Drosophila melanogaster: one gene and its partners. The protein of the gene in region 1 interacts with the protein of each later gene in a pairwise test. Each region holds a gene or a part of one and is shown on either strand. Other genes may lie near its edges. The genes, in order: CG43732, CG13603, CG42493 and Eglp4.

What was found.
Region 2: the proteins of CG43732 (region 1) and CG13603 interact in a two-hybrid assay, tested with the Drosophila melanogaster proteins (one large-scale study listed by BioGRID).
Region 3: the proteins of CG43732 (region 1) and CG42493 interact in a two-hybrid assay, tested with the Drosophila melanogaster proteins (one large-scale study listed by BioGRID).
Region 4: the proteins of CG43732 (region 1) and Eglp4 interact in a two-hybrid assay, tested with the Drosophila melanogaster proteins (one large-scale study listed by BioGRID).

The regions. Positions count from the first base shown.
Region 1 is NT_033777.3:18,946,362-18,955,867, reverse strand, and holds the start of CG43732 (uncharacterized protein), read right to left. Parts: upstream 5,673-9,506; 5' UTR 5,265-5,672; intron 1-5,264. Other genes in the region: CG42613 (uncharacterized protein), read right to left, coding at 7,861-8,569.
Region 2 is NT_033777.3:23,982,962-23,991,069, reverse strand, and holds CG13603 (uncharacterized protein), read left to right. Parts: upstream 1-4,500; 5' UTR 4,501-4,584; coding exon 4,585-4,694; intron 4,695-4,760; coding exon 4,761-4,904; intron 4,905-4,970; coding exon 4,971-5,214; intron 5,215-5,393; coding exon 5,394-5,597; 3' UTR 5,598-5,857; downstream 5,858-8,108. Other genes in the region: Epp (ecdysteroid phosphate phosphatase), read left to right, coding at 43-355, 418-1,299, 1,360-1,598; CG5902 (uncharacterized protein), read right to left, coding at 2,911-3,642.
Region 3 is NT_033778.4:11,774,233-11,781,831, forward strand, and holds CG42493 (uncharacterized protein), read left to right. Parts: upstream 1-4,293; 5' UTR 4,294-4,359; coding exon 4,360-4,608; intron 4,609-4,672; coding exon 4,673-4,775; intron 4,776-4,831; coding exon 4,832-4,944; 3' UTR 4,945-5,003; downstream 5,004-7,599.
Region 4 is NT_033778.4:23,604,114-23,612,042, forward strand, and holds Eglp4 (entomoglyceroporin 4), read right to left. Parts: upstream 4,818-7,929; 5' UTR 4,694-4,817; coding exon 4,019-4,693; intron 3,939-4,018; coding exon 3,720-3,938; 3' UTR 3,479-3,719; downstream 1-3,478. Other genes in the region: Eglp2 (entomoglyceroporin 2), read right to left, coding at 280-838; Eglp3 (entomoglyceroporin 3), read right to left, coding at 1,645-1,863, 1,928-2,521.

The DNA of each region.
Region 1 (9,506 bases):
TGTTTATGCTGGCGAAAGGCGAACTGCCAACGGGGAAAGGAGTGTGTAAGAGGTCATAGAACAAATGGGCCATGTCGTGGCCACCAAAGGGGTGGCATGCGTAGGGAAAATATGGAAAAAGGGGCAAGGGATGAGAAGAATGGCGCCCTGGAGTGCGTAGGCATTGCCAGTGACGTTGGCAACATTTCTGCGTGGCGTCGTGTGCGCTGGCACATAAATTCAATTTGTTTCGCCAGCGAATCGTTTGAAGGGTTAACGCTGGCCTAACTTCCCATGCTAGGGCAGAAAAAAAAAAAAAAATTATGGAAAATTGCACGGACTTGCTGAACTGAAAGGGGAGCGAAACGTTTATGAAATTGCATGCAGAATTAAAGCCGCCAGGCGAATGCCGAGCGAATCCTTTATCCTTTGTCAAGTTCAAATGCACGCCGCGACCTTGGCAGATGCGACTCAAGGAGTCCTCTCCGCCGAGTGCCGTGTGTTTGTAACTGTGTGCTCCCGATTGTGACTGTCTTTGTGACGCTGCATAGGTGTGTGTGTGTGTGTGTGTGGCAGGACAATAGCCGCATAAATGCTCGAGCACTGCTTTAAGCCTGTCGCCGTGTTGTTGCGCTGTCTTGCCATGTCACAAGTCAAAAGTGCATTAAAATAATTGCACTTGTTTAGGCGGCACTTGGCAACTACCAGCGAACGTATCTGATTTAAAAGCTGGTACCAATACTTAGTCAGGTGTAACTCCGCCCATTTTCAGACAGATCAAAATGTTAAACTGGGAATACTCTATCATCTATTCATATTAAATTAAATTATTTTAATAAGTGGTAACGAGTTGGAAATGCAATTAAATGTGATAGATACGATTTCTGCATTAATGGTTTCGTATGAATTACTTTTTGTGGCTTTGTGTGAAAAGGCATTTGTTTAAATTTTAATATCCATCCATGTTCAAATTGGTTTTGATGGTGTCATGTTTTATTTAAGCAAATAATATTCAAAGAAAAGAAAAATGATTTAAATAGTGTAAATCATTGCGAAATAAATGTATGATTTTGAGCTCAATAAAGTCCATATAAATATACCCTTTAGAACAATTTCCTTACTACCAACAAAGCTCTTTAGCATTTCGATAAAATTATTCGCAAGTATGCAAACAAGTTAGGTAATAATGATATTTGCAATGTTTTCTTGCGGTTTCTTTCAGTGTACGTGTGAGGCTCACGTTTCCGCCTTCAACTGCAGTTAAACTTGATTTCTGTGTATCCTTTGTCTTAGTTCCTTGGACAAGCGTCTGGCCCTCATTGTAACCCACATGAATGGGGCTTATACTCGTATGCAGGCGTGTGTATGTGTGCCTGTTAGTGTGTGTGTGTGTGTGTGTGTCAGTGGAAGTGTGTGGGTATAGCCTCGACACAGTAGCTGATGGGTGGTGGTGGCCTTCTTTTGGCCCGCTTCCTGACCCAGCTTGTTGCATGTTTCACGTTGGCTTTTATGGGGGAGATTTTTAAAGCTTACACAAAGATGCTTCACTCTCGTTTGTCTGCCATTTTATGCATTCACGTATCACAAAAGAGATATTTTAATATGCCAAGGAACGCGCGACAAAGATTAATGAAATTCTCGCCTTAAGCCACATCTTTCTGGCTAAGTGAATTCATTTTCTTCGGATGCGGAAACAATGGGAATTTGTAAGCAGAACAACGCTGGCATATTACGCGTTTACCAAACAGAAGTTTAGATTCCGGGAAATATTGAAAATTCAAATTGGCTAATCAGCCATAAGGCCCAAGGCCTTCGCTATATGCCAATTCCATTTGGAATTTGGAAATAAGGTATTTGGCGAAAAACAGTGGCTGACTGGGGCTATTTGAATTGGCTTCCTGTCGGCGCTTATTTCATTGTGGCAGCCTCTGTTTATTTATAATTCGATTGGAAATGTGTTTGGTCAAAGAAGTTCATTTCGATTGGCGCCACCTCATCGCATTTTACGACCATTCGCGGTTTGTTTATCTTTCTGTGTTTAGGCTTAATTACCGTGGCATTTCATTCATATTTAATGTGTCGGAAAGTTCTGCCCACCCGCACAGAAACTCAATCGAAATCGGCCTTTGAGTGCTCGCTCGGTTAATGATTTTTATTGAAATCGGCATAGTTTTCACTCGACTGCCCAACGGTCCATAAATTCATAATGCTAAGGACGAAACTTTAGCTGGCTATTTGCTCCGTTCAGATTGATTAGAAGATTGATAGACTGGCTGTAGCTAAGTGAGAATGACTTGAACTTTGGGAACTACTCGTAATTGATTGGCTCAGCCAGTTTGTATTAGCTTTTTCACGCAGGAGATGCCAGCTAAAAGGTTGCGAGTGTGGTTTTGATCGCATGCCAAATAATTTATGTCTTTTGTTTTTTCGCCAGTTAACAAGGTCTTAAAGCTGGTAAGCCTTGTGCAAATTTCATTCCAGAGGTGGCACATCAAAAGACGATCCCTTCTTTAATCAGCAAACTCATTAGCATCGTCCGCTAACTAAATACAAATTAAAGAAACAGCATCCACAGCTGGCAAAGCCGCTTGCCTTTCCCCTTTTTCCACGCTTTTCCGCCTGCTCCTGCTGGTTGCTAAAAAGTTTTCACTTCGCAGCCGTCAAGTTGATGTAATGAAAAAGTTGCAGCATATTTTTAACAATATTTTCCCAGCTCATATCACATGACGTGGACACGCTGGCTACTTTCTACTGGCAAAAGCCAATGCTGCTGCGGAAAGCCTTCAAAACAACAAGAACTCGGCGTACAGGGCGCTAATTAGTTTCGAGTCGGCGTTTTCAATGGGAATATGGTTTGAAAAAACATCGCTCATACGCAACGTTGGCCCGCAGCCGCAGGTTATTATTATAATTTTGGTTCGGAATGGTAAAAAAAACGGAAATAAAACTTATTTCTAGCACACAAACTGAAATAAATAAACACTTTCGCTGCGAAAGTGGAGACCACACCCTCCACTCAAAGCCGTTTTGCACGTAGCTTTTCTCGTGAGCAGCCGTCGGGAAAATCGCTTGCAAAAGTGAAAATTGAACAAGGAACCAAAGGCGCAAAGGAAAACCATATGAGCAACGGGTTAGCACTGTGAAAGCGAATCCAGTGCAGCTCATTATAAAATAGCCAACGTAAAAAACCCTATTTCCGTTTTTTTTTTTTTGGGGGGGGGCGGGTCAAAGGTGCTCGCTCCGGACCCGAAAATTCACTTTGAGATTCCAAACAGAAATTTTAACGATGCATATAAAAACCCGGCGACGGCAAATGAATAAATAATTTATGCGTAAAGGTTCCTAAACATTCGAGTGGCTGGGTAACATTATTTGCAAAGTTACTCGTCTCTTCTTTCTTCGCATTTTCCACACGTAGCAAATTGTATCTCTCTATTACCTGGTGGAAGTAGCCTGATTTAGTGGCAGTGCCGCCCACCTTAGCCGAAGAAAAAGAAAAAAGGGTTGAGTTTAAAACCCAGCCAACCCCGCAAGTCGACTTTTCACGGGAGTCCCTTTGGGTTATGTTTGCTTATCACCTGGTTGGCTATCCAAACAAGGTGGAAAACGATTGCGGCCCTCTGTTTGCACATTTGGCACGTTTCAATTTCGCAGCGATTGCCGAACTGCATGCAAATTGCAACTGAATCCCACTTTTTTTTTGTACGTTTACTACTTTGCATATGGCAAAGAAACTGGGAAAGCACTTTCATCTGATGATCGACTGTATGGATAGACATCGGAGTGAGAAATAGTCAATTACGAAAATGATTTTCGTGAGTAATTATTAAATAAGCTGCAATTTCAGGTAGGCAGGCTGACTATAAACCATCGCTTATAGTGAAACGTGAGCGGAATTTAAAAAGGAAAGTAATTTACAAAATGTTTACAAATATATTGAGTATTGGTTAGAATAATTGGTTGCCGTTATTAGCATGTTTATAATAAGCGTGAACGAAAATAACGATTTTTAAACAAAATCGTTTCGTTGAAAATCAAAGTATAAATCTCTTGAAAAATATTGCATTCAATTCAATTAATCTTTTGCTGAAAGTGTAAACGGAAAAACACGTCTTCTGCTAGTAAAACTACAATTTTATTTCGCAGATCATTTCCCTTTTTTTTCGGATCAAACAAGAGTATATTCAGATCTAAAAAATGAATTGGAAGATGAGCAATGCGTTTACTCCTGCCTCAAATCGAAGCTGTCACTTGTCAGTGGCACGCGTTGCAGGAACGGAAATCGGAAAGTTCGCCCGGACTTTGGCTGTGACTCCAATTAAGCAGCTGGCGAACAGGTGAAACAGGTGAGACCCAGCAGAAGTTGTCATAACTGCCGTGGACACATTTCCATCGCCATCACCATCGTCCCTTTTTCTTCTGTCTTTTCCGCATTTATCCAGACTTATTGCTGCATTGCAAACAATACGAGGGCCATGTTGTAAATCCCCCAACAATTGTCTGCCTCCAGTTCGTTTTGTAACCTTTCGTTGCCCAGATTGCCCTCTCCTGTTTAAGGACGTTCCAAGAAAAAGCAGCCAGGGTTACCGATTAGGAATGTATGGCCATTGTGCATGTGAACTAATAACGCATTTGTATGTTTGCTTTTGAAAATGGCGAGTTAGCTTGAACGTGAACTCATCCGAAGGAACATTCGCTCAATGCAAATAAAACCCAATTTTGCTGAAATGAGCATTTTTTTTTTTTTTTTTGGTGAATCGTATGGGCATGTGGACCGATTCCAAGAATCAATTTACATGGCCATTCTCGTTTGGTCAAAGGAATAGGTGTCATAGGTTGATATTAAATGGAAATGCAGCATTGTAAGTGTGGCAATAAATAATTCAATACACAGCACGGAGTGACTTTCATTTTAGTTGTTATACAAGTGAATTCCATTTAATAATTTCATTCGTGATAAATGATTAAGGTATTCTTATTTGGAATTGTTTGCCAAAAAACATTTGCATTTAAAATTGTATACGCGCACAAAAGAGGCATAACTTAAATATTGCAGTGGTTTTGCTGACTTTCAAACATCATTGTTTAATTTTAAGCGAGTATGATGTTTAAATGTCTTTAATCCTACCAAGTGATTCTGCAAAATACCTCCCAGCCTTTTGCCCCGATTGATCACCATAAATAGCCCACTCCACAATCTTATAAATGCCGAATATCTCAATTGTGCACCATAGCCAAGGCAATTTCAAAAGAATATGTAATTCGGTTTCCATTTGAATATTTACGTCTCGCTGCCGAGGGCTTTCTCAATTGATTTGTAATTCACTTTTGTGTCGAACAATTCCGCGTTGAGCTCTCCGTTTGCCAGGCCAGGGTTTTTCTTATCGCCGGGATTGGTTTGGCCGGATTTTGGATTTTGGATTTTGACACCGAAACGGAATGCTTAAGCAAACATTAAAATGCAAACGCACAGGACGAAGCGATAAGGCGGAAAGAACAAGAGACCTTAATCGGTGGTCAAAAGCGGGAAAAGTGCGCGCGTTGCTGGGAAAACTGATTCGAGGCTCCTGTCACACGATGCGATTAATGACGCGTTCAAAAGCTGGTGGCAAGCGGAATCCGGAGCTGAATTGAGCTGGCTGAAAAGCGCGTTGCGAGTGTGTGTGCCGCACGGCCGACTGAAATCGACTGACTACGCTCGGCTGCTGCCACGGCATTTAAGGCAGAGAGTGAAGTCGGAAAATGCGAGGAAAATTCGGAGGAAAAGCGAGAGAGCACGCCGCGATGACATCAAGTGAAAGCTCTGCCATTTGAATCGAGAGACGGCTGTTAGTCCAACGCCAATATAGTACGGCAGCGAAATAAATCAAATTGAATCTATGATTTCGTTTTTGTGCACTTCTTTTTTCTACTTCAGGACCCCAGGACTCCTTGGCGCAGCCTCCTCCTCCTCCGCCTCCTTCTCGAGTGGATCCTTCAAGTTGTTTGCCACCGGATTTCATTTGGCTGCGGCTCAATGAGCCGTCGATTCTGTTTGTTCGAGTGGCCGACGAGCGCTTTAATCGCCCATCCAAAGCCAAAACCAAAGCCGCCACTCGAGACAGCTGGCAGGTGGCAGATTTCAGGTGAAACCCGAAGGTTTCCAGGTGCCAGGCCATCAGGTGGTGCCAAAGCTGACAGGTGAGAATCTTGTTTAACTTCGGCTTCTGCTCATTATGCTCCTCCCGTTTTGGTCCGACTTGGCCGTTTGTGCGGATAATTGCCGCCTTCAATTTAAATTGCCAACGAGCTTGGCGCACCTAATTTTCGATTTCATTTAATTTGGCGCAAATCTCATTAGGGCAAAAACGTCGCCCAAGATAAATGGCAGTGTGTTCTTTTGTTTTTTTTTCTTGCTCTTCGTCCGAGGCATCGAATCGCAGATACTTTGACCTGTGCCTGGGGCACTGGCGTCTTTGACTTTCCCTGCTCCGTCCGGCATGCCAAGTCAGCGATTTATTTGGGCCAAACAATGGCGGGATAACCCAGCAAACATTCACTGGCCAACTGATAAGCGCCAATCTCTTGGCAAATGATAACACCGTTGGCCTGGCAGCGCAGGCGCGAGCTTTTCCACAAGAGAGAGATAACGATGGAGAGAGTGGAAAAGCCAGAGAGCTCTGCCAACTGATAAGAAAGCAGCAGACTTATGCTGCCTCTGCATCTGCGGCTTCAATTGTCTTTAATCGCTGCTCAAATGTCGATGATGTCCTGGGAAGTGTTCTGTGGGATGGGTTGGAAAATTGGAGAGCGGTTACCCCGGGGAGGAACTTTAACGAATTGTCATTGATTTCTTTTGAAATGGCACCGCTTTTGTTTGCCTTCGCTTCTGCCACATTAGGCAGCTGAGCAGGGGGGGGATTCTGCTCCTCTAACTCTGATTACTGCAGCTCTGCCTATCGGGGGCAATGATCACAGATTGAATTTGCTCCGGCGGCAGCCGGTCTTAAATAATTATGAGCGCGTTTAATTAATAAGTTTGCCAAGGCAGCAACAAAGACCTCGAAAAGGGTTCTTCCAGAAATATGCTGTTATTGTTTTTGCGGCCGGGAAGCAATTAAGACCGCCTAGCGCATTGTCTTCTCGGCCTCAGCCCCGTTTGACCCCAACTTTGTTATAAATTTGCCTTTGTGCGTGCTCTGAAAAATGACCAGCCCCTCAAATGTAGAAAAAAATAAATATATATATATAAAAACTGTCACACAAAGAGTTTGAAAAACCGAAAATGAAAAAGAGATAACTCAGATCCGAAAGGGGCAGGGACTGGGGTGCCGGAGCGGATTGCTTCCTTCCTGCCGGGGGACGCTCACTTTTGCCGGTCATTAAATTTTTTTCCATTGCCTTTGGCAGTCGATACATATTTGGCTGCGTACATAAATAATGAGCTCAGTTGTTGTTTGGCCAGATTTGCAAATGTTCTTCGACAGTTTCAATTATTTATTTACCAGCCCAGCCGACGACTACAGTGAGCACTCAGTGGGGTCTTTAAAACTGGCAGGCTAAAAGCCAGCTAGTGGACACTCGAGACTTGCCAATTAGGACGTAGGAAAATTGTTTTACATGAGTTGGTTGAGAGTTACACATTTTTTAGCAGGACTATGGAGGGCAGCAGCAACTTTCACAGAAGTTTAAAGGGAAAAGTGCCATGCTAAACCATTAAAGTTTGATGTGGCTACATTTAGATACTATAAGTCCGGATTCAAATAAATTCATAAAATTCATGAAGACGAAAAACTTCTTCAGCTGTTAATAGTAAACCCATATTTTTAACAATTAAACATGAGGTACATCATGTACTTGTTAAATACTTTGCAACGAATCTAGTAAATAAAAAGTACTCACCTGCATAGAATAAAGGCAGCAGATTGAAGATGATAACCAGCGGAAATATAGAGCGTGCAAACTTTTGCATATCCGTAAGGATGCCGACTGCCGGAGTCGTTGAAGCCGCAGCAGCGTAGTCCTTTGTGGCTTCGCCGTGTTGATAGAGCTTTCGTTGTTGTTTCGTAGAGTCCTGACTGACTTTGGAAGATAGGCGTGATAGGCAAGTGCTCGTGGCGAGGCGATCCTGCTCCGAAATCCCTGTAGAAGCGACCAAAGGGGCAGCAGTATCAGCCAGGTCCTGCTGTTGCTGCACGACAGGAAGAACAGCAACATTGCGGCCTGCAGCAATGTCGTCCAAAGGATTGCGCATCCTGTGCTGGGTGTCTCTATCGCTGTCAGAGTTCTCATCTGTGGTCCAGGACTGCGGACATTCGCTGGCTGGTACATCATCTGTTGCTGCTGCAGTTGCAGTTGTTCCTGTTGCTGATGTTGCTGCTGCCGCAAGTGTTGACTGGCATAATGTTGCTGCTGCTGTTGTTGTTGCTGTTGCTGCCTCTGATTCGCTTTGTGTTTGTGTGTGGCACAGAAACGTATCGTTTTGAAATTGCTTCCGACTGATGCAGTTGCAGTTATTCGTGTGCTGCTGTTGTTGTAAAGGTTGTCGTGTTGTTGTTGAAGAAATTGTTGTTGGTGTGTTATAGAAATGTCGTATCTGTGCTGAGGCCATGTTGTGCCCTGAAATGAGATATAAAACGGCAACAAAGCCATTAAATCGATGTTGAAAACCAATAAGCATAGTGTGCACATTAAATTGACAATTCGAACTGTCCGCCATTAAGTTTTGATAAGCCCATTGCTTTGATTATCGACCCCAACAACGCTGTTGCAAGGATTTCAAGCCGAAAGGGATGCGGACAGCATCACAAAGCATTTGGGTTCTTGTTCTTTTAATCAATTTCCACTGGCACGCCCATTCGGTTAACGCCGGCGGGCAATCCTTTTGCTGTTTTTTACAATCAGCCAAATCCCCGACTCTCTTTTTTAACTGGGTTTTGACCGAGGGTTAATGTTTGTTTTTCCAACGTTTTCTAAAGTTTTGTGTGTTTTTATTTACAAAGGAAGTAAGCGTAAGCCGACAAAAATTTAACATGTAATTTAATTTCATCTTTATTAAAAACTTGTGTATTTATTTGTGTTAAAAAATGATGTTACTATGATTTGGTATTGTTTTTTAACTACAGACTTAAGCTCAAGTTGACCAAATTCATTGTGTACTTTAATTTTATCTTTATCAAAATATTCGTTTATTTGCTTTAATAATTTTTATGGTACTTTTATGGTACGAGATCTGTAATGGCTAAATTTATAGCACAGAGCTTTTGCTCTACATCCTTGGGTAAAAACTGTAAAGGATTGCAAGCTTACATCGTAAAAGCTTTTAGCTGTGTAACTGTCAATTGGTTGTCGCATCCGCGTATACGTAATATTAATGTAACTGTAAGCGATGAGCTTTTGCTGTTATCGAACTGTTAAAAGGAAAAGCTTACACAGACATATGTACATACAGAAGCAATGACTCTCATAACAAGGAAATGATAAGAAATCTCCTAAAGTTAGCCTTTCTTAATATATTGAATATATTGAACGAAATAGAGTGTCTTTTT
Region 2 (8,108 bases), 5.0 Mb from region 1:
ATCGATCGAGGATGAGTTATAATTTTATCTTGTACTTTTCAGGTTCAAAAGGTAGTTTATCCACACAACCCGCACGAGACGGATGAACTGGAGCTCCGAATCGGCGATTACATCTATTTGAATACCGAGGTAGTAGACAGTTCCAGTGACGGTTGGGCCGAAGGCATATCTTGGTTGACCGGAAGCACCGGTCATTTGCCCGTCAATTACACCGAACGCACCGCAGAATCGGACGCCTGGACCCTGCATCGTGTGGTCCAGCTCTCCAAGAGCGTAGCTTCATCATTAACTTCCGCCGAGGACTTGGACATTGTGGACGGACGCAGTATATCAACGGAGCCCGACGATCGTCAGAGTGAGTCGTATTTTGAATACAGTGATCCTGGATTAAGTTAGTTACATTGCCTCTCTCAACAGACACAGCACATCCTGATATAATTGAAGGCTCTTCGTTTGAGGAATCCGAACAGAGCGTGGAGAAGTATTTGAGACAGACTTTGAAGCCCTGCCTGGAACTACCCTCAGTGCAATTGCTAAACAGCCACAACTTGACCCATCAGCATAACCCTAACACGCCTACGATCGAGATAACGACCAATATGTCTTCTTCCTCCACCTCCATGTCCAAGCAACCGGTGGACGAGATCTTGGTGGAACCACCGGCAGCCCAGCCTCCGCGTCCAGATGACACACTTAGTGTACACTCGGACCACTCCTTGCATCCCGGATCCCTTGACGCCTCGCATGCCAAGAACAGAAAGATCTACATTATGCGGCATGGCGAGCGAGTCGACTTTACTTTTGGAACATGGATTCCATATTGCTTCGATGAGTTTGGAAATTACATGAGGAAGGATTTAAACATGCCGAAGACGCTGCCTCGTCGGAAGAACAGTCCGGAGGGCTGGCAGAATGATTCTCCGCTGACAAATGTGGGTGTCTATCAGGCCAATCTTATTGGTCAAGCTTTGCTGGAGGCTCAAGTGCAGATCGACCATGTTTACTGTTCGCCCTCGTATCGCTGCATCCAGACTTGCACCAGTGCGCTTGAGGGGCTGAAGCTTACGGGCAAGCAAAAAATCAAACTGGAGCCGGGCCTGTTTGAGTGGATGGCCTGGTATCCGAGCGGTGTACCCGACTGGCTGACTAAGAACGAGCTGACCGAGGCCAAGTTCGACGTTGATTTGGATTATGAGCCGGTGCAGCCAGCGTCTGAGCTAACTGCTCGCCTAAAGGAGTCCACCGAGCAGTTTTATGAACGTAACCATGACGTTATCCTCCAGCTATTGGAGCAGACAAGTAAATTTATACAAATGTGGTTTTAAAAAATACTCGAATGCCAATTTTCTTTAATTCCAGCTGGAAATATTTTGGTTGTTGCCCATGCCACCACACTGGACACTTGTTCCCGTCAACTGACCGGTGGAGTTCCACGCAGCACGAACGAATTGCGCCAAGTCATCCACAAGATCCCCTACTGCAGCCTGGCAACGGTGGAACAGGTGGACGGCGTCTGGAAGCTGGTTGAACCCGAATGTCTTCCGGTGACGCACTCAAAGAATCCGCGGTTCGAGTGGAACGCCTTGTCGGCCACCTAGTGCCAGTGCTTAGAGCAGTTTCTCTGCAAGCATTGAGACTGAGACTCAACTCGATTGGGACGGACCTGGAGGTGAATCACACGCTGAAGAAACTATACGTAAATTTTTTGTTCGCTTAGCTATTTAAAGTACGTATTGATTTACTGTTTAGAAATTGGCGCCGCATTAAGTTGATTGTACTGCCATACAAATTTTAAAGTAATTTATATGTACACTTATGATGCAAACCGATGGAATGCGATTTTGCTGCGGTGTATAAACAATCCATCTATTATAATTGCACTGCTTATTGAGAAGCCAGCGCGACGGACTCATACTTTATTGCAATCAATGCGATCTATTGACTATATATATTGAATATATACATTTATACCGTATGCCAGTAATTATACTAATTGAGCGCTAGCTCGCCGCTTTAGCCATAGACTAACTTGCCCTGTTACTAGCTTAGTTGTTAGATTGTTTGATTAGCCTTGCTGCGTAACGCAGTTTTTTGTAGCCATTTATCCAAGAGGCAGACTTTTCTTAGCAACTTGTTGAGACTACTCCGTACGTAAAGCCCAAACATATATCGATATTATCGACTAGATTTAGAAGTACAAAACCATGTAACAACGCACAACATAATGGAACAATAAACAGTATACATTGAACACGTGTAATGCCAAAACATTGAGGTGTAAACTCCATTTCGCTTCCACGATCCCCAAGAGGAAAGACGGACGATAATTTTGCATTGTCTTGTGCGACTCAGAAGGGGTCGACCTTTATTTAATGCGCATAGAATTAGAATTAGTAATGTAATTGGTTTAGTTGTTAAATCTATAATATAATTGCTGAACATTTTACGTGAATTATATATCTGCATTTTGTATTGTATTGATTCGGTAATATATATCCCCATATATACGCTTGTTTAGTTTTAGTTTGTGTGTGTTTGATTTAAAAAGAAACCAGCAAGGCTGCGGCTACAACATAGATCGGTGTATCCGAATGCAATGGGTTTCAACATAGCGCTTACAATCTTTTCTGTTTTCATTATGTTTCTCATTCGAAATTGCTTACGGATCTGCCGCTTAAGTATTTGAAGCATTAAATGGTATATTTAGTAAAAGACGCTCATCTCACGCGCGTTTTTGGAGAATTTTTGAGGGCTTAAAATTGATGCTGGAGATATAATAACTCATAACTTGAATTAAGCGAGCGGCCGCCAAGCTGGGCCAAACTCAAAAGCTAGCAGCAGCAGGAGGACGACGGCCATCAGGCCTGCCCTAAGCCAGGATCATCGCCTCGCCGCCGTCCTGTCCAATTGTTAGCACTGCACCTTGCCGAACTGGGCGCGACGCTCCTGGTACTCGCGGTACTCCTTGTAGTGCATCTGGATCTCCTGCGAACGGTAGCGCGTTAGCTTTATGGACTTCCTCGTCTCCGGAGTTATGGCAGCCCGATAGCCGCCCTTCCGTAGGAGTGAGTCAATGGTCTGCAGCTGGTCCCAGCCCTGTTCGGTGGCCACCTGCGGCAAATAGGTGGCTGTGCGCTTGCAGCCGCGTTCTGTGAGGAACTCGATGCGGATGCCATGGACGCCCAGTTGCCAGTCCAGGTGGCCCTGAGCCTCCTCGAAGTTCTGCAGAATCGAGACCGAGACAGTTAGCCGTGGCAACTCATCTCTAGAGATAGGTGCAAATCTAGAGTCCTTAAAGGCGCTGGTCAAGGCGTACTCCCGAAGACCATGGTGCAGTTCCATTGCACTAAAAGTACCAATGCAGCCACGCAGCCTCTTGTCACGCCCAATCTTCCAGGTGACAAAGAGTGGGTAGGCGTCGTTGCTAAACACCGGCACCGATGGACCATCGACGTTGTTCAGCTCACAGTCAAGCACCTCGAAGCAGAACAGGCACATGTCTGGCACAGCGACGGTCTTCATGCCATGGCCGTTGGAGAACCGTTGCGGCTGGTGCACCATCTGCTGGTGCTGGTATTCCGGATCTCCGTTGCTGGAGTGCGGCTGCTGCTGCTGGTAGTTGTTGTAGTGGGAGTTGGACATGCTGTTCTGTGTCAGAACTGGTTCACTAATTACGTTAGGTAGGTATATTGAGGTTACAACTAATGGCAGTGCACGTTGATGCTCTAAGTTCAATTAACACAACAGAACAGCCCCAGTAGGAGTTGCCACAGAAACGCTGCCGCCAGTCCTCTAATCGTCTTCTGAAAATCGGTGGTGGTGTTTAATGCTGGTCTCGAATTCCAAGGCCTTGGCTTACCTGCTACTGCGTAAACTAGGTCACCTGCTGCCCTCCAGTTTGCGCTGACCTCTAGCCTGTGATTCCTGGCTCCCTGCTAACTGATCCAGACCTCGTCCCCGTGTTCCTTGGCTGCCGTCCTGCTGCTAGTTAGCTCATAAGCACCTCATTGAATTGCGTCCGCTGATCCGCTGATGCGTCTGCAAAAGGTCGTGTGCGAGATAGACAATAGAGGAGGGTGCTCTTAAATGGATTTCCATGTTAATTCGCCCGAGCGATCTTCACCTTAGGTTTCACAACAGCCTCTATTGGAAAATTCGGGGAAGTGGGGAAAATCGGAGGAGAAAGCCCCCCTCCTCCTATTGCATTAATTGCTCTTTGTTCGCCCTGGCTGTTCCCCCCACCCCCCGCACTTATAAAGGGCTACGCGCCACACATGCACACGGCCCTTTGTCTTGGCTGACCCATCTAGGAGCCAGGGAGCACCGTAGGTAGCCCTCAAGAACAATATTTTACCTTTTTTCAATGTAAACAAATTTTACACTTTTTTACGAGTTCAGTGGCGAACTAGAGATGGCTTAACGAGAATGATGGCCCCAGGGTGTATATATCGATAATTGCGCATACCAATGCAGGCAGCTGCAGGGTGCTGTCCAACACTGCTTATCGATAACACCAAAAGTGCATTGCCGTGTTTGTCTGAATATTGTGGAGTTTCATTTGTTTTTGTTGAAATCAAAAGCAAAATGGCTTTGGCCAACGTGCTGCAGCTAAGCCAGATAGCTGGCCATGTCATCCTGTTTATCCTGTCGCTGTGCATCGTCGTGCCATTGTTTATAAACCTCGACCAATTCTGGTAAGTGCGCAGTTCCTCTTTGGTCCCCTGTAAATTATTGAGTTTCTTTATTCTATTTTCCCACAGTGGCCACTGCCTGCTCTTTACAACTGGCAAATGGCGGGAGGAGGACGGCATGTTCGATGTCCAGTGGGCTTCCAATGGCTTCTGCAACTTTCCCCTGATTACCGGGTTCTTCCTGCTAATTATTTCGGTGGTGCAGATTTATAGGTATGTATCTTGTGGGTATTATTCGGGGTTTTTGACATCTAGAAAGTGAATTTCTTTGCCAAATAGATACGCCCGCATGAAGGAGGAGGCCTCGTTTATAGCTCTGTTCATTGACGTCGTTCTGGGCATTTGGATGCTGGCTATGTCCATTTTGTCGGCTATTTTCATTACCCTGGGCTTTATTGTCTGGTGCGATTCCATGACCGAGAGATTCCCATCCTGTGCCATTTCCGCCGGTCAGAACATTATCCACGGCGACACGGAAAAAATTAACACCTCCGGATTTTACATTGAAATGGGAACCACTCAGGTAAGATGATACAAAAAAAAAATTCTCATCTATTTTTTTTTTGCTTTCTGTGGCAATTCTGAATGTTTGATTACGTATACGTAATATTTTATATTTTTATGTAAAACCAAATATTCAGTTGTGCATGCGAAATTAAGTTAATAAACTCTTTTAACCACTTCTATTGATTTTTGTTACAGTTTGGCGCATGGGGTTCATTCGCAATTTCCGTTGGCATCGCCGTCATCGCCCTTCTGAAACTGATCGACAACCACCAGGTGCGCAACATCAAGGTTTCCATGTACTTGGAGCGACAGCGGTTGGTGAATCAGCAGCAGTACGACGGCAGGTCGACCCCGCCGATCGTTTCGAACGCATCCTCCGACACGGAACAGAACAAATAGTTGACGTTTGTGATCAATCAGCAGCAGTTTGTAATTCTCTACGTATTTCTCATCATGTGCGTTATAATCATTGTATGTCATTTCGTCCTCGTCCTTATCATTGAGGCAGACAACCGGCAACACACATTATCTTTGTAGTGAAGGAAACTAGAGATATTAGCCCTATGTATTAAGCCAACATACGTGATATGTAATGTATATATATATATATGTATTTAATTAATTATTCCATGTTACAAATATAGTAAAACCAAATTATTAATATTTCTGAAATCATTCATTTATAAAGATACTTACGTATTGCGGATCATCCCCAACAATCCCAAGCATTCGAAATGAAACAATCAATGCAACATGTTATGTCAGTTACATTTATTTTGCAGTTATCTTCTGTGTTGTGTGTGTTTTCTTGTTGTTGATGTCATTCGAATCTGTCGTAATGTCAAACGGATTTGGGTTTGGATTTCACGTTTGCATTGCAACAAAATGTTCTTATAGACTTTAAAGCGACGCTATTGTACATTTAATATTAAATTCCGTATTTGCTTGCGTAGTCTGTTACAATTCAATTAAAAATTTCTTGATCGCACGGCATTTAGCCCCTGATCGCTGTATTTTTGCGTCTAAATTCAATCTTTGCCTGCACCGAGTTTGTTTCTTAAATGTGGAGCAAAAATGGTGGAGATTTACTTTTGGTATAGAGAAAAATAGTTACTTGTACATTTACGGGCTTTGCAGCTGAATCTCATCGATACTGTATCTGCATCTACGACTGCTTGGAGTTTGGTATCGGTATTCTGTTTTTCTGTTTTCTGGCATTCATGAAACAATTTCCTGGGATCTTACAATTAACACTACATCAATGTATGTACTATAATTAGTATTTTTAGTTTTTGCGTTTTTTTTTGTTTTATGGGTAATCATGTTTTGGATTTCTTTGAATAGCATATTATTTAAACTTACATTCTATTTTTGGTTTTTTTTTTCAGTGTTTTGTGTGTTTTCATATTTTGTTTTTCATTATTTGGTTTTGGTTTTTCATTTTGTTTTTGTTTTTAAATACATTCAAAAAACATAACGCAAGGGTGTAAAAAACGATGTGCAGTGTTTCCTTGTTGCGGTTTCTCTTTGTACGAAATGAGGCGATAATAACCAAATCTCCTGCGGGCTGCGATTCAATTTGCTGGGGGCTAATCGATCCAGTGAACGCCAATTTTGGAAGGCGTGCTGGAGGATGGTCCGGACGACGACGTCGCGTCGCCAAGGACGCCGGAGGCTACGCAATCTGGGATGATAGTGGGTCGAATCGTAAAGCAAAATCATAGGTTTTTCTTAATGGTCAAATATAAAAATTGGCTCTGGCGCATGTTTCGTTCAATCCATTGCATAGCCCACGACTGGTGGCGTCGGGCGCGCCCTCCGATCTCTGCCGCATTTGGCTAGAGACGTATGTCACGGAAATCGGTCGAGTGTGCTCCGATTAACCCCTGGCACTGAGCCCCTTAATCGCAGCCGGAGGTGATTTGCCGAACGCAAAGGGTGGTGGTGTTTGGTTTGGTTTCGTGTTTGTGTTATGATCAAACTCCCACCCAGCCGCCCCACACCCCACCCCCACAAATCCGCAAGCGGATTCGCAAGGGGCGGGACTAGGGACGGATTGGGCTTGGATTTGGATTTTGGTGAACACTGCCATGCGATTTCCGTGACCTTTCCATGGCAGTGCGTGTCTGATGGATTGCGGGAAGAACTCTGGTCTGTTCGTGGACGTGTGTCTCTCGGTGTGACCTTGTTTGGGCGGCGTACCTACAGCCGAGTGCGTCCCGCGCTCAATGGTTTTTCCGGTTGTTAAGGCCGGATCCGGCTATTCCCGCACCCAACTGGGCCACGCCGTCGCTTCGTGTAGTGAGCCAGGGATGGACCGAGTGCGCAGGCGAATAGCCGCTGGGGCAAGGGATCCGCACTCGACCCTTCCCTGGCCGGCGATACTCAACTGCTCCTGGTACTAGCACTATATAAATACATAGTTGGTAGTACCATGAGGCGTGTGGTGTGTCGTTCACATAAGACGTAATGTAAAATTAGTTATAAAACTTTCAAAAATTGTTTTCTTTATAAGCGTTTTAAAGTTGAAATTGTAGTTTTTCGGATTTTGTGTCTCCTCTGTACTCTTCTCATTCCACTAATCGGATTTGATATCCAAAATAAGTTGGTTTTTTTTTTGGTTTTTTCTTTCATTTTTTGTTTCTTGTTTTAGACAAATGCAGGTGAAATACTTGCGATGCCATTGCCTACGCTCGAAAAATGCATTTTCCTATTTCTCGTGGTTTTTCACTTTCTTCTTTCTTTTGGTGGACGCACAGCAGCGGAGAAAATTCATACCAATTGCACAATCCAAAGGTGTTTTTCCGCATTTAATTCAATGGCACACAGGACGAGCTAGGCCCGCCTGTGGGTTCCAATTTATTCGTCCCAATTAGTAGTTAGCCAACTATGCAATTTGCAGCTTTTTTC
Region 3 (7,599 bases), on another chromosome or scaffold:
GCAACCTTATATAAATTTAATACGGTCGCACTTGGCCAGACATGTACTTTGGTTTCTTATCGATGTTCTGGTTTGAACCGAAAATCATCTAAACGTGGTTGAAAGAAACAAACAAACTCAGACTAGGATAACTGGGTGCCGTGATGCTGTGGCCCTTATATAAGCTTATTGTTTTTTTTAGCAATTACCCTGCTGACCAATTAAAATAAATGACACGTTAAGATAGCCTCTTTACTGCGCAGATGTTTTGCGGGCATTCGCTGTTATTACTTTGAATAACAAATTGGTCTGGCGAATATTTGTTTTTTTTTTTTTTATGTAAATATTATTGGCGCACGCGAAATTGATGGAGCACAGTGGGCCAAGTTAGCTGGCAGCTGGCCAAGGAGTATTGCCCCAAACTATATAATTTATACATTAATAAATGCTGCACAAACAATGGTTTTATCAATTGGCGAATGTCAGTCGGGAATGTTATCAGAACCACTGATAGAAATAAAGTATACATACTACGATGTTATGCACGTTAGATTAAACAATTTCATGATTTAAAACTTGCTTATGTTTAATACATATATATTATTATTATTATTTACTGGGTCATATTAGTGCCAACAAATTGTAGTGGTATTGTATTTGAATAAAATATAAAACTTCAGTGTAACATCAATTTGGTTACCATGTTCATGGGGTCATAGGACATTGCTTGAAGGATATCCACCCACCCACTTGTGTCCCAGTCCTCCGGCCACCAGCCTACACCACCCACCACCCACTTTGCCCCATTCGATAGAAGCAGCAGCAGACGGAGCTCCACAATCTTATCGGAGCTGCTCTTATTGATTAATATAAAGATACTGACAGCCCAATCGACGCAGTGCGGCGGGTATCTGTATCTGTATCTAAATGGGGAAGGCTAAGCACAGGCCCTCCGGAGTTCGTGGAGCACCTTTTCCACCTGGCCGGCGCTTCCAGCTGACATATAGAGCAAACAAAAAGACACAATTATTTTTTCATATTATTGTTATTTGTTATAATACGAGATAGGGGGCTCCTTTTGGACTGTCCTATCTGACACGCATTTCTCTGCCTTTGGCGCCCTCTCAAAGGCGATAAAGGCGGCATTGAATGACTGACAATGCACTGAGCGAAATTCCAACGCCGCGTGTGGAAAGAAAAAGCTTAGCCCCAGCTATTTGCGCACTTAGATAAGCGCCTTTTTGGCAGCACATCAAAAGTGATAATCGATTGCTTTTCAGGTGGTTTTTGTTTGCTGCTCGGGGTTTCGGAAGCATTGTTTTGGGGAGCGTTTTTATTGGGTGGAATTATCGCGAAATGGAATTTTAATGGTTGTTGTTTAACGAAGAGTCTTCCGGTAATATTTGTACTTAATAGCCATACTTAAACATTTTTGAAATGGTGTGTTTAATAGAGCAGCTTCTTGAATATGTAGTTTGTTATGCTTGCACGATTTAAGTTAATAATTTAATTTATATCATTATTAATTGTTGTTTGTATGCTTGTTTATGATTATTTTATTCTTCGTTCTTGATTATAAATAGTTACATTTAAATGAACTCTCTACTCTTTATTGATTTTCGCGACCCAATAGCTGAGTTCTAAAGTTGGAGCTCCTAGTATTCCAGCTTCGAAAATGGGAACCCCCACGATCACTTTCACTGCAGTGCGACCAACCCGAGCACTACCACCTGTCATTGCAATAGCTTATGTCAACCGCAGGTGACCCACTTGTATTGTAGATCCCCTGACTCCGCATATTATACCATCTCATCTTGCAACTCATAAAGGCCCCGCAGGAACCAGGGCTTTATTTTTGGGTTATATGCACAGAGAACACTCCCTTTTCCACTGGCTTTTATCGCAAGCCAAACTTCCGCTCAGTGTATCCCCGCCCCAATTTTTATGGAGCGTTCTGCGGGCAGTTGAGCGCCAGGCGGCCTTTTTGTGATTGTGATTGTGCTGACAACAGAACCCGGCGAAGAAAGACAGCCGACGAGCTGTTTATGATGATGATTTGTGCCATGTGCCATATGGCATATGCCACATGCCATATCCATGCGATGCAAGTTACCATGATTTGGTGTTTTGGCTACGTCTGGGCTGGAAAACTGTTATAAACACCACTGTTTGTGCTGCATAATTACTGCCTGTTGTTTATTTCCTGTAACATGCAAGGCGAAGCCCTCCCATAGACCGCCCCGTCGTCAGAAGACAAACAGAAAATAGGTCTATTCATGGGGGCTTATAAAGCTGTTCCGTTATTGCAAAACGCATTTTGTCTTATCAGTGAGGCAACTGTCGGCTAAAGAACCCAAAAGGCTCTCGGAATATTCCACATTGCGAAGCATTATATTTGTCTATCAACAGATACAAAAGACTGGTACTTGTTTGTAGGTCTACTTACTCAGGCAGTTTCTTAGCTTTTCCTTACCAAATTTTTGAGCAACTCTGGATTCCGTGGGCCAATATCCAGTCATTTTCTTTGACCTTATTTAGTTTCCATAAGTCGAAAATGTTTAACATTCCGTTGTGCAAAAACAAAACTTAGCAATAGGTTTGCTATTCCAGTGAGCTTAAGTTCTAAATTTGAAGACGTAATGAGCTTTGCAAAGGTAAATGAGGTCTTAATCGGGATCTTTAATGTAAATATTTATATCAAAGGAATTCCAAATATTCACCATGAACCCAAAAATATTCCACCATGTTTTTGGATGGATATATATTCAACAAAATACAAATTTAAATCTTAAACATAAATTTAAATCTATATATTAGTATTTTTTATAAGAAATGCAATTCAATTCGAAAAACATACTTTTAGTTCATTCCCGTTTTCACAGGGTACCATGGCGTCGATTATATGCGTGATTTTGCAATCGGCGCATTTTGTTGGCGCAACCCCACGGCACGAGAATCAAATCAATTAGTTCGCTTGTCAAATGCCATGTTGTATTTTGGATTAACAACTGAAGCAACATATTCGGCGATATCGATAAAACGATAACAAACGACGCGTGGCGGACTCAACTGTACTTAGAAGCACTTTAACCTTGTATTTTTATATTTTGCCCCGCTAATATAATCATACGTGAGGAACCGAAAAGAAAGCAAATAATACCTAAAGCTTGACCATAATTAAATTTACATTGGCAACTGATGCTATTTTTGGGTATTTCCGCTGGGAGGGGAATTTAAAACCGATCCGTTCAGCTTGACTCTAATCCAGTTGACCGTCGCCACGGTCTATTTTGGATCCTTGGTTCCAAAAATGAAAAGAACCTTCGCTGTCCACGATCGTTATCAGTGTAAGATAGGTCAGTCCCATTTGCTAACTGTTGCAGGAGTACAGTTGCGGTCAATTGGCTAATACAGTACGGCCTCGATGAGCTGAGCTGAGCTGTGATTACACAGCCTAATTAAAATACCACCTCGATAATTGGGCTGAAGTACGGGTACTCAATGCCTCCACTCGATCGCACATTTTGCAGTGCCGAATTCCCTTATCGATCGATCCGGGCGAACGACCCTCACTGGGGTCTCAACTGTGTACCCTCGTTATGCAAGTCCCTGACAGACTTTGGCCAAATATTTTAGCCATGACTAGGCCAAGAAGGCAAGGAATGCTAACTGCTATCTGCTATCAGCTATCTGTGTCGCTTCCGCGTCACTTGATTGATCAAAGAATGTTCACGCAGGCAAACCCTTTTTCGCTTCTTGTCGCTTTTGCGTTGTAAACCAAAACTTGGCGATCTGAGGGCCCGACACTCGAGAGCCCCGGCGGCTGATGTTATGTCTGATTTGGAGCTGATAAAATGCCAGGGCGTTTATTGTATTTGACTTGATTTGTTTGGCATTGTCTCTGTCTATCTAATTGCTGTCTACAGAACTAGAATTCTCGGAACTGCCGATGGCCAAATACTAGAGACGAGTGTGTAGGATTACGGGCTACCACTAACTGTAATTTCAGTTAGCTGGACACTCGTTACACCGACAGGTGATTCCGTTTCGAATGGACTCTTGGCCTCCAATCTATGCGAGTCCAATTTTATTCATTCGAGTCGCACATGTGCACAATTTCTGAATGTGTTATTGTTTAACCTAATTAAGAATTAAGCATAATGTGGAAGAGGTTGATATAAATGTTTACATCTCTCATCGCAGACATCTTGAAAGATTCTTAAAAAAAAGTATGCAACAAAAAAATTGTGTTCAAAATTTGCACAATAGTTGTGATGCTGGATAATATTTTCTTTGAATAGAAAACAAAATAATTTCTAATCCAAAATAAAAACCAAGAGCTCCGTCATTATCTTTCAGTTTTACCGACTTTCAGAAAATATGCATTTAAGAAAATTTTTGTATTGTTGGCCATTGAAATATGGCGTTATTACTGTGGGCATTGCTTTTGGACTCACGGACTTCATCGTGGGCAGCATTGCATGGGACATGGTTATCAGAAACAAATATCCAGACTATGTGGTCGAGTTCTTCAGAACCATGGACACCCGAATCTGTGTGTCCGGATTTGCCACCGTTTTCTGGTTGATGATGACCAACCACTTTCTTTTGATCTATGCCGTCTTTTACGTGAGTTCGAATGAGTTTATGCGAAATCTAGCAAATCCTATCTCAAAAATCCTTCTAAACTCAGCACAAACTTTTGATAATCGGAACTTGGCTGTTGATAAACTACATGGTATTTTTGTTCACCCTTGTCACCGTGTTGTTGGATAGCTTGCTAATCCTTAGAATAAGTATGTTTGTTGGGATTGGATGTGTTATGACCAACTATAACATTTTTACATTTAAGTTGCCCTCGGATACTGTTTGATCGTGGTGAAGTCCTATTATAGTGAGTTGGCTGAGTCTCAGGAGGAATCATCCGATTCCAGTGAGGAATCAACTAGTAGTGATAGCGATTAAAATGCCTCAAATGTAAGCATTTTTTTAATTCAAAAGGCAATAAATTCGATTTATAAAGTATAAGTAGTTTTTTTTATTATATGAACTAAATACCTTATTTATGCATTAAATCAAATAACCGATAATATCAATTTTTGATCATTTTTCCGAACTCAGTAGGCTGTACCCTCCCCTTTTTGAATCGTCGCTTGTTGTGTGCTTGTCTTCCTCTTTCCTGAAAGGCAAACAGGATTAAGCGATAATGAAACTGCACTTTCCGAAAATGCCGTCAAAAGCCCCGCTTCAGACTCATTAAAAATCCATTAAACTCGATAAAAATGAGAGGGAAGCAGGCTCCCCAGAAAGAGCGAGACAGAAGGCGGAATAAACATTTCTTAATAAGCTTTACACACAAATGTGGAGCACTTGGTGACAGTTCCCACTGAGTTTTTCGGTTTTTTTCCCCCCAAAAAGGGTGAAGTCAACACAGGCCAAATAAAAACAACAAAAAAGTCGAAAGTCGAGGGCCGGCCACTTAAAAGCTCATTTTGTGAGTGCATTTCGATGTTGCATTTGCAAATAAATCATTCGGTTTCCCATTCGGATTTCATGCTGCTCATGAGATATGCAAAAACTCGACGAGTAAATCAGCTTCCAAAGCGTTTTAACTACAAATGAGCCAAATCAGCGCCGATCACGAACAGCTTATGGTCACGCATTCATTATGAATTAAATCGTATATTAACGGATAATCCGATGGACTAGTGATACCCAAAATCAACTGGTGGGATTTTATATAAGTAGTGCGGCGTTCCTAGTGCATGAGTCACACCTAAGTGACCCCTAATTAAGTATGTGATGAAAGCAGGAAACAGGGTATCCAAATAATCACTTCCTTAATAATATTTCTAAAGAAATATTCACTTACTTAAGATACATGTGTCACTTTGTATAGATGACTAATACTTTGAACGTATGTCTGTTGAACGTCTACAAACAGCAGCAGCTATTTAGAAATAATCTAGACACCCATTTCCTTTTACACAATATTTATTTTGAATAAAATCATTATCATATAAGTATTTCGTACATATGAATAAGTGACAAATATAAAGTCCAATTGAGAGCACAATGTTTCCTATCACAGTCCACTTCAGTGTTTACTGCAACGGTGAGTCATCGCTTGAGCCCATAACCCATGTTTATACTAACATCCAGTTATAATAAGCAGGTCTTTAGAGAACCATAAAACCTATTTACCAGATACAGCTACACATAGCAGATACAGTTGCAGTTGAGTTGAATGACACCCTCCTCGAGTGCAGCCCACACTCTGTGTCAAACATTTATCAGGCAATCGATAAGGAAAGGAGCTCCCCCGATTCGATCCGATCCGCACTGCTTCGCTCTACAAAGTTGGGGATAAAGTTATCAACGACATAACTCCCGATACAAAGCGGTTGAGTTTGGTTTGTTGTTCACAACTTTGTTTAATGATTGGCATAAAATTCACTTTCCGACTGCCTGCCGTGCGTTTTATGCCCTGGATCTGAATCGGGGTCGGAGTGCTAAAACTCCTGATCCAAGCTGCCGACTGGCTCCTCTAGAATTTATGCGGTGCCATTAAAGAAGGTATCCATAAAACGCTGAGCTTAATTAAAACGCCACGTAAGGCGGACCCACTAGGATGGCCGTTTAAAGTTGAGCTGCAAATCGCGGGCAAGCAACCTATATTTATGGCTACAAAAATCGGCATCCTTTTTCAGCGCCTAATGAGATTTTCACAAAAGCAAAAATCATAATTTCCACGCGCAACCAAGCGCAACAAATTGCCCTTTTGCCAGGTGGGCGTTGCACTTGCCACAGTTGCACACCCAGCTAGTCACACCCATTTCGAGAAAATAAAAGAGAAAAGCGGCAAGCTTGAGTGAAATAATATGCTTTAATAAGATATTTATAAATAGATTCAATTATATTTTTCGGGAAACTCACCTTGTTTGGACCTTGACTGCGTTTTTAACTGTTGATTACCTCACTATTTGACTTGGGGAGATTTTCATATTCGTTGGGTATTAATTCCTTGTCAGCTGACAAGCAAAATCGTTCACTCTCACTTTTAACTTCACTTTGAAACCAGCAGAATGACAACATTAATTCCTAGATTAAGTGGCCTTTTGGAAAATAAAAAATTTATGGACGCTCCTCTAATGAGGAATTTAAAAGTGAAGTGAAAAAGAGAATTTCCGTGAATATGAAGTATACACGGTTTGCTTGCCAGCGAAAATTGATTTATCATCGTTCAAAAGCAAATATCTGAACGAATGCAGAAGGAATTTCATTGTTCTAAATCAAAGTCTGAAACGCGTCCAAATAAATCTAATCGGTGTGGTCAAGGAAAGAAGTCATTTCGTTTGTGTTTTCAATTTGATTTAATACGCGAACTGTGAATCTGTTTTATGACGTAAAGCTAATGCAGATTAGGAAATCAATCCACTACAACATTTTTGGCTTCGTTCACAACAAATTGCCGCAACGATTATCTATTGAGTTGCCACAGGCAAGTTGGCAAATATTAATAATCCGCCGCGTTGTACCGCTTATGCAATGAGCCGTGGCAATTACACATTTCTTTGCGATTGCCCGCCCATCGAGACGTAAGCAATCTAGGGGCGCTGA
Region 4 (7,929 bases), on another chromosome or scaffold:
ATTTCATGGGATGGCTAAAATGTCTATATTAAAAGTGTATATATGCCATTTAAAGAAAGGTTATCATCGATACCGAGAAAGTCAAGTGCATTTGCCTGATAAATTGAAAACAGATAGTGAATGGAATTTTAGCATAGCGGATCGTCAATTTGATATTTCTTAAGAGCAGACAGTCTTATCTGTATCGGTATTACTTGGACAAACAGACATTAAGGTGGATTACAAAATAAGATATATCTAATACTGTATCTGAATTATTCCGAACAATAATCAACTTACCGCTGTGAGCGACAGGCATGCGATGGCCAGACCAAATCGCACTGGCAGCGAGTCCTGCTTGGTGGCATTGCGGGGATCCCAGACGCCGCAGCACACGGAGATGAGGACGCAGGTGATCAGGAACTCCACGGCCAGTCCCTGCCATGGGGTCAAGGTGCTGTTGAGCGAGGTGAGGCAGACGCCATTGGGGTTCTCAGCGCTGTAGATGGCGCTCTCCGGGAGCACCGCCTTCAGCAGGCCGTAGCCAATGAAGGCGCCCACCATCTGGGCCACAAAATAGGCCAAAGCCATCGGCAGGGAGATCATGTTGTAGACGTAGGTGGCCAGGGTGACGGCGGGATTCAGGTGGGCGCCACACACGCAACCGAAGCACTGGATGCAGATTAGCACCACGAATCCGAAGTTCAGGGCGCTCTGGAAGTCCGAGTTGGTGAACACGGAGTTCTCCACACTGCCCATGCATCCGAGGAACATCAGCATAGCGGTGGCTATCATCTCGGCAAGAACTGTTGTGATGCTGTCCAGCTGGCGGCGCTGCAGCAGCCAGCAGTTGGATTGGCTGCGAAATAGAGAGGAGTATTCCATTTTAGTATTCTTGTGGGTTTCATTGTGTTTAAATTTTTTTGAGTCACTCTTCGAGGATATTTTAGATTTTGATTTTAAGACTTGGAACTTGGTGGATCACCTTGCGGTTGTAGCCATGATTTACGTGCGTCGCGACGAGCGATTGACTTTAACGGAGACGTGGTCCGACGTGGACTGCACTCCAGACCAAGTACTCAATGGTGCGAATCGCATACTCTATCGCCGGCTCTTAATCGCCGGCAATCTCGTCTAATCGCCTTAGGTGGGTTATCAGCCAGCGTTTCTATATACTCATATCTACCCAACTATTGCCAAACATTCGCGTTGGTGTGCTCCATTCACTCGAGTGCGTATGTCCACTTTATGACGTTTTAAGGCAATTCAAAATGTGACAAGGCACTAAGTTAGTGTCCCACTAGAAAGGGGGCTATAAGCCATCTAATCAATATGATTTAAGCCGCCTGTTGTAATGGTTGAAACGCAGAACATTTCATTCGCTATCAAGCTGAGCAATTCTAAAAGGGGCTACTTATCAATGGCCATTGATAATGATTTTCAAAGACCTATGGACCTATTGATATATATGACAAACTCGACAAACTTTCCAGCGAATACGAGCCCCCAAAAAAATGGCCAATATCGCCGCTCATCCCAATTGTATGCTATGGAAATAATACAAGGTGGTGCTTAATTACTTAATCGACCTAAATATTTTGTGGCTCTATTATTACAACATATTCGTATATATATATAGTTTATTCGATAAGATTCAATTCACACCTATTGCACTATAACCTCTCCGATCATTCGTATCTTGGCATCGGAAGTCCTCAGATCGATCTCCTCGTCGCCCTTAAAGGCCATGCGATAGATCAGCGAGGTCACAGCTCCTGCCACCAAAGGACCCACCCAGTAGATCCAGTGGTGTGCCCAGGAGTCGTTCCAAACAGCTGGACCCAGTGATCTGGTCGGATTCATGCTGGCTCCCGTGAAGAGACCCTAAAAGCAACAGACTTCCCATTAAGTAACACTTCGCAACTTTGAAACGCACCGAAATACCAACCGCTGTGAGGATCAGACAGGAGACGGTGAGACCGAATCTCACGGGCACCGAATCCTGCAGCTTGGCGTTCCGTGGATCCCACACCGAACAGGCCACCATGACCAGGCAGCAGGTAATGAGGAACTCGATGAAGACCCCCTGAAGTACGCTGATTCCGGGGGCCAGAATTGTCACACAAACACCCGACGGGTTGTCCACACCCTTGATGGAGTTCCCAGGCAGAACAGCCACCAGGAGACCATAGCCTATCAGGGCTCCGGCAGCCTGGGCCACAAAGTAAGCAATGGCCCGGATCCAACCGATTGCGCCGTAGAGCCAGGCAGCCAGGGTGATGGCCGGATTTAAGTGGGCACCGGAAACGGAGCCGAAGCACTGGATGGCGATGAGAATGGCCAGGCCGAAGGTGAGGCCACTGCGAAAGTGCGAATTCTGGAACAGCGGCGTTTCCACACAGCCCATGCAGGCTATGAAAACGAAGACGGCAGTCGCCGCCAGTTCACCGAAGAAGCAGGCTATCGCACTCCTTTGGTGTCCTTCCAGGCGCCACCTGGCGTTCGGATTGGACTCCTGCGATTTTTGCTTCTGTTGCGACATGCTGACGGAACTCTACTGCCGCAATTTTGGGCGGCTGCCCAAGTGACCCAACGTGCCAGCAAAATTTACGGCAATCAATCAAAATCCATTATAAAACCTTAATGCTAATTATCGAGCGCAGATTTGGGAGCAGCTCCCGCCCACCCATTCAGGATGGATCAATCCATCAAGGCGATTTTCGGGGGGCTTTGCTCAGCCGTAATTATCGGCCTGATAAGCGCCACTGCCATTTCGCCCGATTTGTGCTCAATCTTATCTCATTAAGATCTTTATCGAACGGCGAACGGGGTCGCCGAGACCTGGCCAATACTCGTACTTCTTGTGTGCCAGCCAGTGTCTGAATCGCTACAACAAGGCCAATAAACCTGGCCTATGGTGTTCGAAAGCTACTCGAAGGAATCACCCCGTGATTTCCAGAAATTCCAGAAGAGTGATGCAAATCCAGCATTAGCATATCACCCATAGCACATAGTCCCCTTTAAACCACATAGAACCACATATATCATTTGTGCTTCGTATACGGACTATAGACCCGAATGGAGTACGTAACGTACAATAACTGCATATTGTTGGTATATTTTGGCTTTATTTGGCTGATACGCGCGTCTCATTCGCAGCCTGCTGATAACGTTTTTTAGCCACCATTTGATTGGTCGATTTGGAGGTACTAAGATATTCGAATATCTTATGAACAGATTTTCCAAAGACCGCTTAAGCTGATGGGCTTTTTTCACTTTCGATTCCTGGAAAAAGCTTATTGGTATTTTTAAGCCCGGAAGTTACTTAGAGCTAATCAAAGCAAATACCTCGTTATTGAAGAATGAAAAGCTTTTAGATAATATGGACTCAACATGTTTTAAGATGGCCCAGAAGAGCAGAACTTCAGGTATCAAATAACTACCAATATCTTGTGTAGAATTTCTTAAAACCATAAAAATAATTTACTTGTTTTGTTTTGGTTTTAGATTAAAAATCTCGATGTTCTTTATTTCTGAAGGCAATTAGTGTTTTCACCAAGACGTTTATCGTTTCAAGGGCTTATGTAAGTGTGTGCACTTGGTTCGCCTTTTGAAACGTTCGAGCCACTTTGTGAAGACACTGCTAACATTAGCGTACAACGAATGCATTATTTTAAAATTCGGCATCTTAGATATTAACTAAATTAGTTAGGGCTTTTCCTACAGCAATGTCTTTGGCCTTACGACAGCTGGACGTCCTCCAGTTGCCGCAGCTTCTCATTGGAGGTGATCTCCGCCTCAACCACCTCGCGGCGGAAGACGACCTTGTAGGCGTAGGCGGTGATGGCGGAGGAGCTCAGCGGGGCCAGCCAGTAGATCCAGTTGCTCTCGAAGTGCTTGTTCCACAGGGCGGGGGCGAACGACCTGGCCGGGTTCATGCTGCCGCCGGTGAAGGGACCCTAAAACCAATGGTAGGGAACGAGGTTAATAATCCGTTTCGAGGCAGGTAAGGATTAGCCAACTGTTCGCTTTAACTTACGGCAGCGCAGGCGAGACAGGCGATGGCCAGGCCAAATCGAATGCCCACGGAGTCATGGAACTTGGAGTTGCGCGGATCCCACACTCCGCAGCAGACGATGACCAGGATGGAGGTGATTACGAACTCGATGCCGAGGGCCTGGCCCGTGGTTACGCTGGTGTGGGGCAAGGTCACGCAGAGCCCAGCGCCCACCGTAAGTGTGGGCGAGGGAAGCAGGACCATGAGCAGGCCGTAGCCGATGAAGGCGCCCAGCATCTGGGCGGCGAAGTAGGCAAATGCCATGCGCAGGGTGACCATCTCGTAGATGTAGGCGGCCACGGTCACGGCGGGATTCAGATGGGCACCGGAGACGCAGCCAAAGCACTGGATGGCGATGAGGACGGCGAAGCCGAAGTTCAGCACAATCTGCAGATGGTTGTTGGGAAAGAGGTCCGTCTTCACGCAACCCATGCAGCCCAGGAAGACCAGGATGCCGGTGCCGATGAGCTCGCCGAGGAAGGCGGAGATTTTGTCCAGCGTCGATCCCTTCATTTTGAAGACCTTACAGCAACTGAAATGGTCAGAGAAGCGCTTGAATAATGCCACACTAAAAAGCGAGCTACCCTCTCTGTCGCACGCCATCGTCCATCTCTTTCTCGACTCTAAGTAGACCTGCTTAGGAACTTCATCAATCATATCCTATCTAAGACCATCCTATCGTTTCGCAAAGCCCTCCTCGATTTGCACCTAATCCCCGCGACACACTTCTACAATCTCAACTATTGTGCAACTTTGTAGTTAGTTTGTCAAGCTTCTAGACCTTTGCAACTGCTGTTCTCCTTCGGCTGCCTGGACGATTTCCTGCTGGTTTTCCACCCCTTGCGGATCCATCCCCTGCTGCTCGAGGTTCATTGACTTGGCATCGATTTTCCAAACACCCTTTTTTGGAAGCACAACTTATGCTGCTGATCCGACAAACGATGCCTGCTGCGGGAATGCCATCGATGGCTGGACTGACATGAAGTAGCCGTGTACTAAATATAGTAGACTTGTGATTGCCGTTCGGCTGTCAATTGGGTTTATAGATAAATGGCCGAAAAAATGCGAATCAAATCACGACATGGCCATAAAACAATAACCAATCTTTTTCAACCTTATCGCCTGAGCGCCACTCGAGTCAATTGGAGTTCACTACGTTGCGAATTAATCCGTTTATTGTGATTGGTAAATCCCTCTTTCTGGTAGCCAGAACTCTTGTTTTTTGTTTTTTGAATTTCTTTGGTTTCGAGTGCCAGATAATTACCGAATCTCGTGGCTCATTTTGACACTTGTCCAATTCTTTGAGATCGCACTATATAATCAATCTTTTCCGTAGCTGGTGAAAATTCACAAAGCGGCAGCGCGACTGTCAATGTCAATCTGAGGCGGTGGAGTAGCCATAGGCAAATATTTATATCTGTGTCTATATAATATTGCGTAAATCAAAAGCCCATTTTTAGCCCCTGTGAGAGAGCAGCAACACACACAGATACACACACACACATATGAAGGGGACCGACCACAAGCACACACACACACACACACACACAAAGGCGTGGAAATTAGCGAATCCTACTGGTGAGCATAAAAAAGTCAAGTGTCCAGAATTTATGAGCATCTTAAACGCTCATTCGCTGCTCTCGTTCGCTTTTGCGATTATCTCTGGAGCGATGCTCCTTCTCGCTCCCACTCTTCCTTTACCAGTCACCTGGCTTAAATCATTATAAAATGGTAGAAACAATACGGATGATATTCCATGGAAACAAGGTTAGATATTAACACTTGGTGTGCAACTGACATACTGGTTTTGCTCTATCGAATTCATTCGACTTATTCACAGCATTTTATGAGAATTATAATATTAAAGGTGGTCCTTACATTTGTTTTTTAAGTAAATTATCATTTTCATTTAACTTGTTTCTTACTATTTGTTTGCCATGAGAAAGGCAAATCTGCTAAGCAATGATTGCTAGAATTAGTAGTAACCATAGTTCCTAAAATACGACATTTTCATTGCGTGTCATTCAAACTTAGCACTAAACTGTAATTGATAGCGAAAATCCCCATAATTATTTTCAGTGTAGTTGGTCGGTGGGCGGTGGGCATAACACTGTTATGCTGTGCAAGTGCGTGACGCGCTCGCAATTGAAGCAGGCGGCATATTGCGTATTGATAACAGCAGAGTGGCACACTATCAATTACCACCGTCGCTTCGATTCCTATCAATTGCAATTGCTGCAATTGAGGATGCGTTGCGTGAATCGGGCTACCACGCAATGTGGCAAACAAATCACGGCAAATCTCGGCACGCCTGTCGATCAAATTGCACGCAATTTGCGTAGTTATGTGTCTCAATAACAATTGGATCGTCAATAAATAATAACAATTTAAAGCAAATATTTTCAAAAGCCCTGCTGTTGCACACACACCCAGTACACACAGTGGCTCAGGTGATCAGAACTTTTGACCCTCACTGACCACGCCTAATGTTTTCCATTGCTTTCTCGCCATAACACACATTGGCATTGCCACAGAAAACGGTGGAGAAAATAGCACTGCTGGTTCATTTGCGTTTTGGCCCTTGGCCAACGGCAAATGTTTGTGTTTGGCCAACTCATTGACAGTTGGTTGGTCAAAAGAGAGCGACACGTTTTGGCAAGAGACAAAGAGATTAAAGGCAAAGCAGTAAACACGCGATGGATCGAAAGTTTAAAAATAAATCAAACACACCATCCGATCGGCAGCACAATAATAATAATAATAATTTAATTACCACCTGCACCTTTATCATATTTTCCATGCCCAGAAGGATCACGTATCATCCATGGGATCGCTGCATGGGCCACGATTTTCAATGGCCCGAGGGCCTAATTGACAACAAACCCCGTTTGGGATGATGGATCTTAATTATTATGATCCATTCTCAGCGTTTGTCTAAGTGATGGGACGTGACTGGGCGTTTCTACGTTCATATTTTGGGGAGTGCTAATCGCTGATGTTAACGGAAGTGGGGACTGTTAATTAACAGAGCGGTGCGATAAGAACGGGCGACTCCTCGGAGCTTCTCAAAAGCTCAGCTGCTAGGATGCGCAACTTTAACGAAGCTTCGATCGTTAGCTTTCGGCGAGCTTTTCGATGAGCTTCCTTATCACGCGGCATTATTATTAGCTAATTATGACTAAGTTGGTAATAGAGTGATAAGCCTTCGGCCAGAAGCTCGTCGTAAAAAACTTGTTAGCCTGAAGAACAGCTAATCAATCCGTGCCGATAAGCCTCACCCGCTGTTTGCTGATAGCTGTGGCTGTAGCTGCTTAAGAAGTGATTTTTGCTAGTGGCCCTAAAATGTTGGCCATAAACCATACGCCGCAACCACTGTCACTCGCACTGATAACCGATATCGAGCTGAGTGAGTGGTGATGGTGTATTGGGATTGGCGGTGTCTGGCGGCGCAATATCACAGGCTTAATTTGGCCATAATTGGGCCAACTCAAATCGGATTTACTCGTCAGACTTTTGACATCGCCCCGCATTTACGGCTCTTCCAAAGTGCGATAGTGATCGGTTGCCGACTTATTGATGTGCAACAACAACAACGTATACCCCTTTATGGCATTCCAATTGCCAGCTGGATCGTAATTGAAGCTCATTATGGTGCCACAGGCGGAAGCCTTAGTGCCCATTGACCAAGATCCATGGCAGCCTCTTCCTAGCCCCAAGGTTCTGCTTCTTATCTGTGCGGCTTATCAGGGCAATGGAAACTGCTGACGTTTTGGGTTGCGCAACAGGTTGTTGGCATCGCCACCTCGCAGTGCTGCCCCCTTTTATTTACGGCTGTAAATACGGGGGGCAATTAAGACGTGGTCAACAATACGGCAAGATCCACGCACACGGCT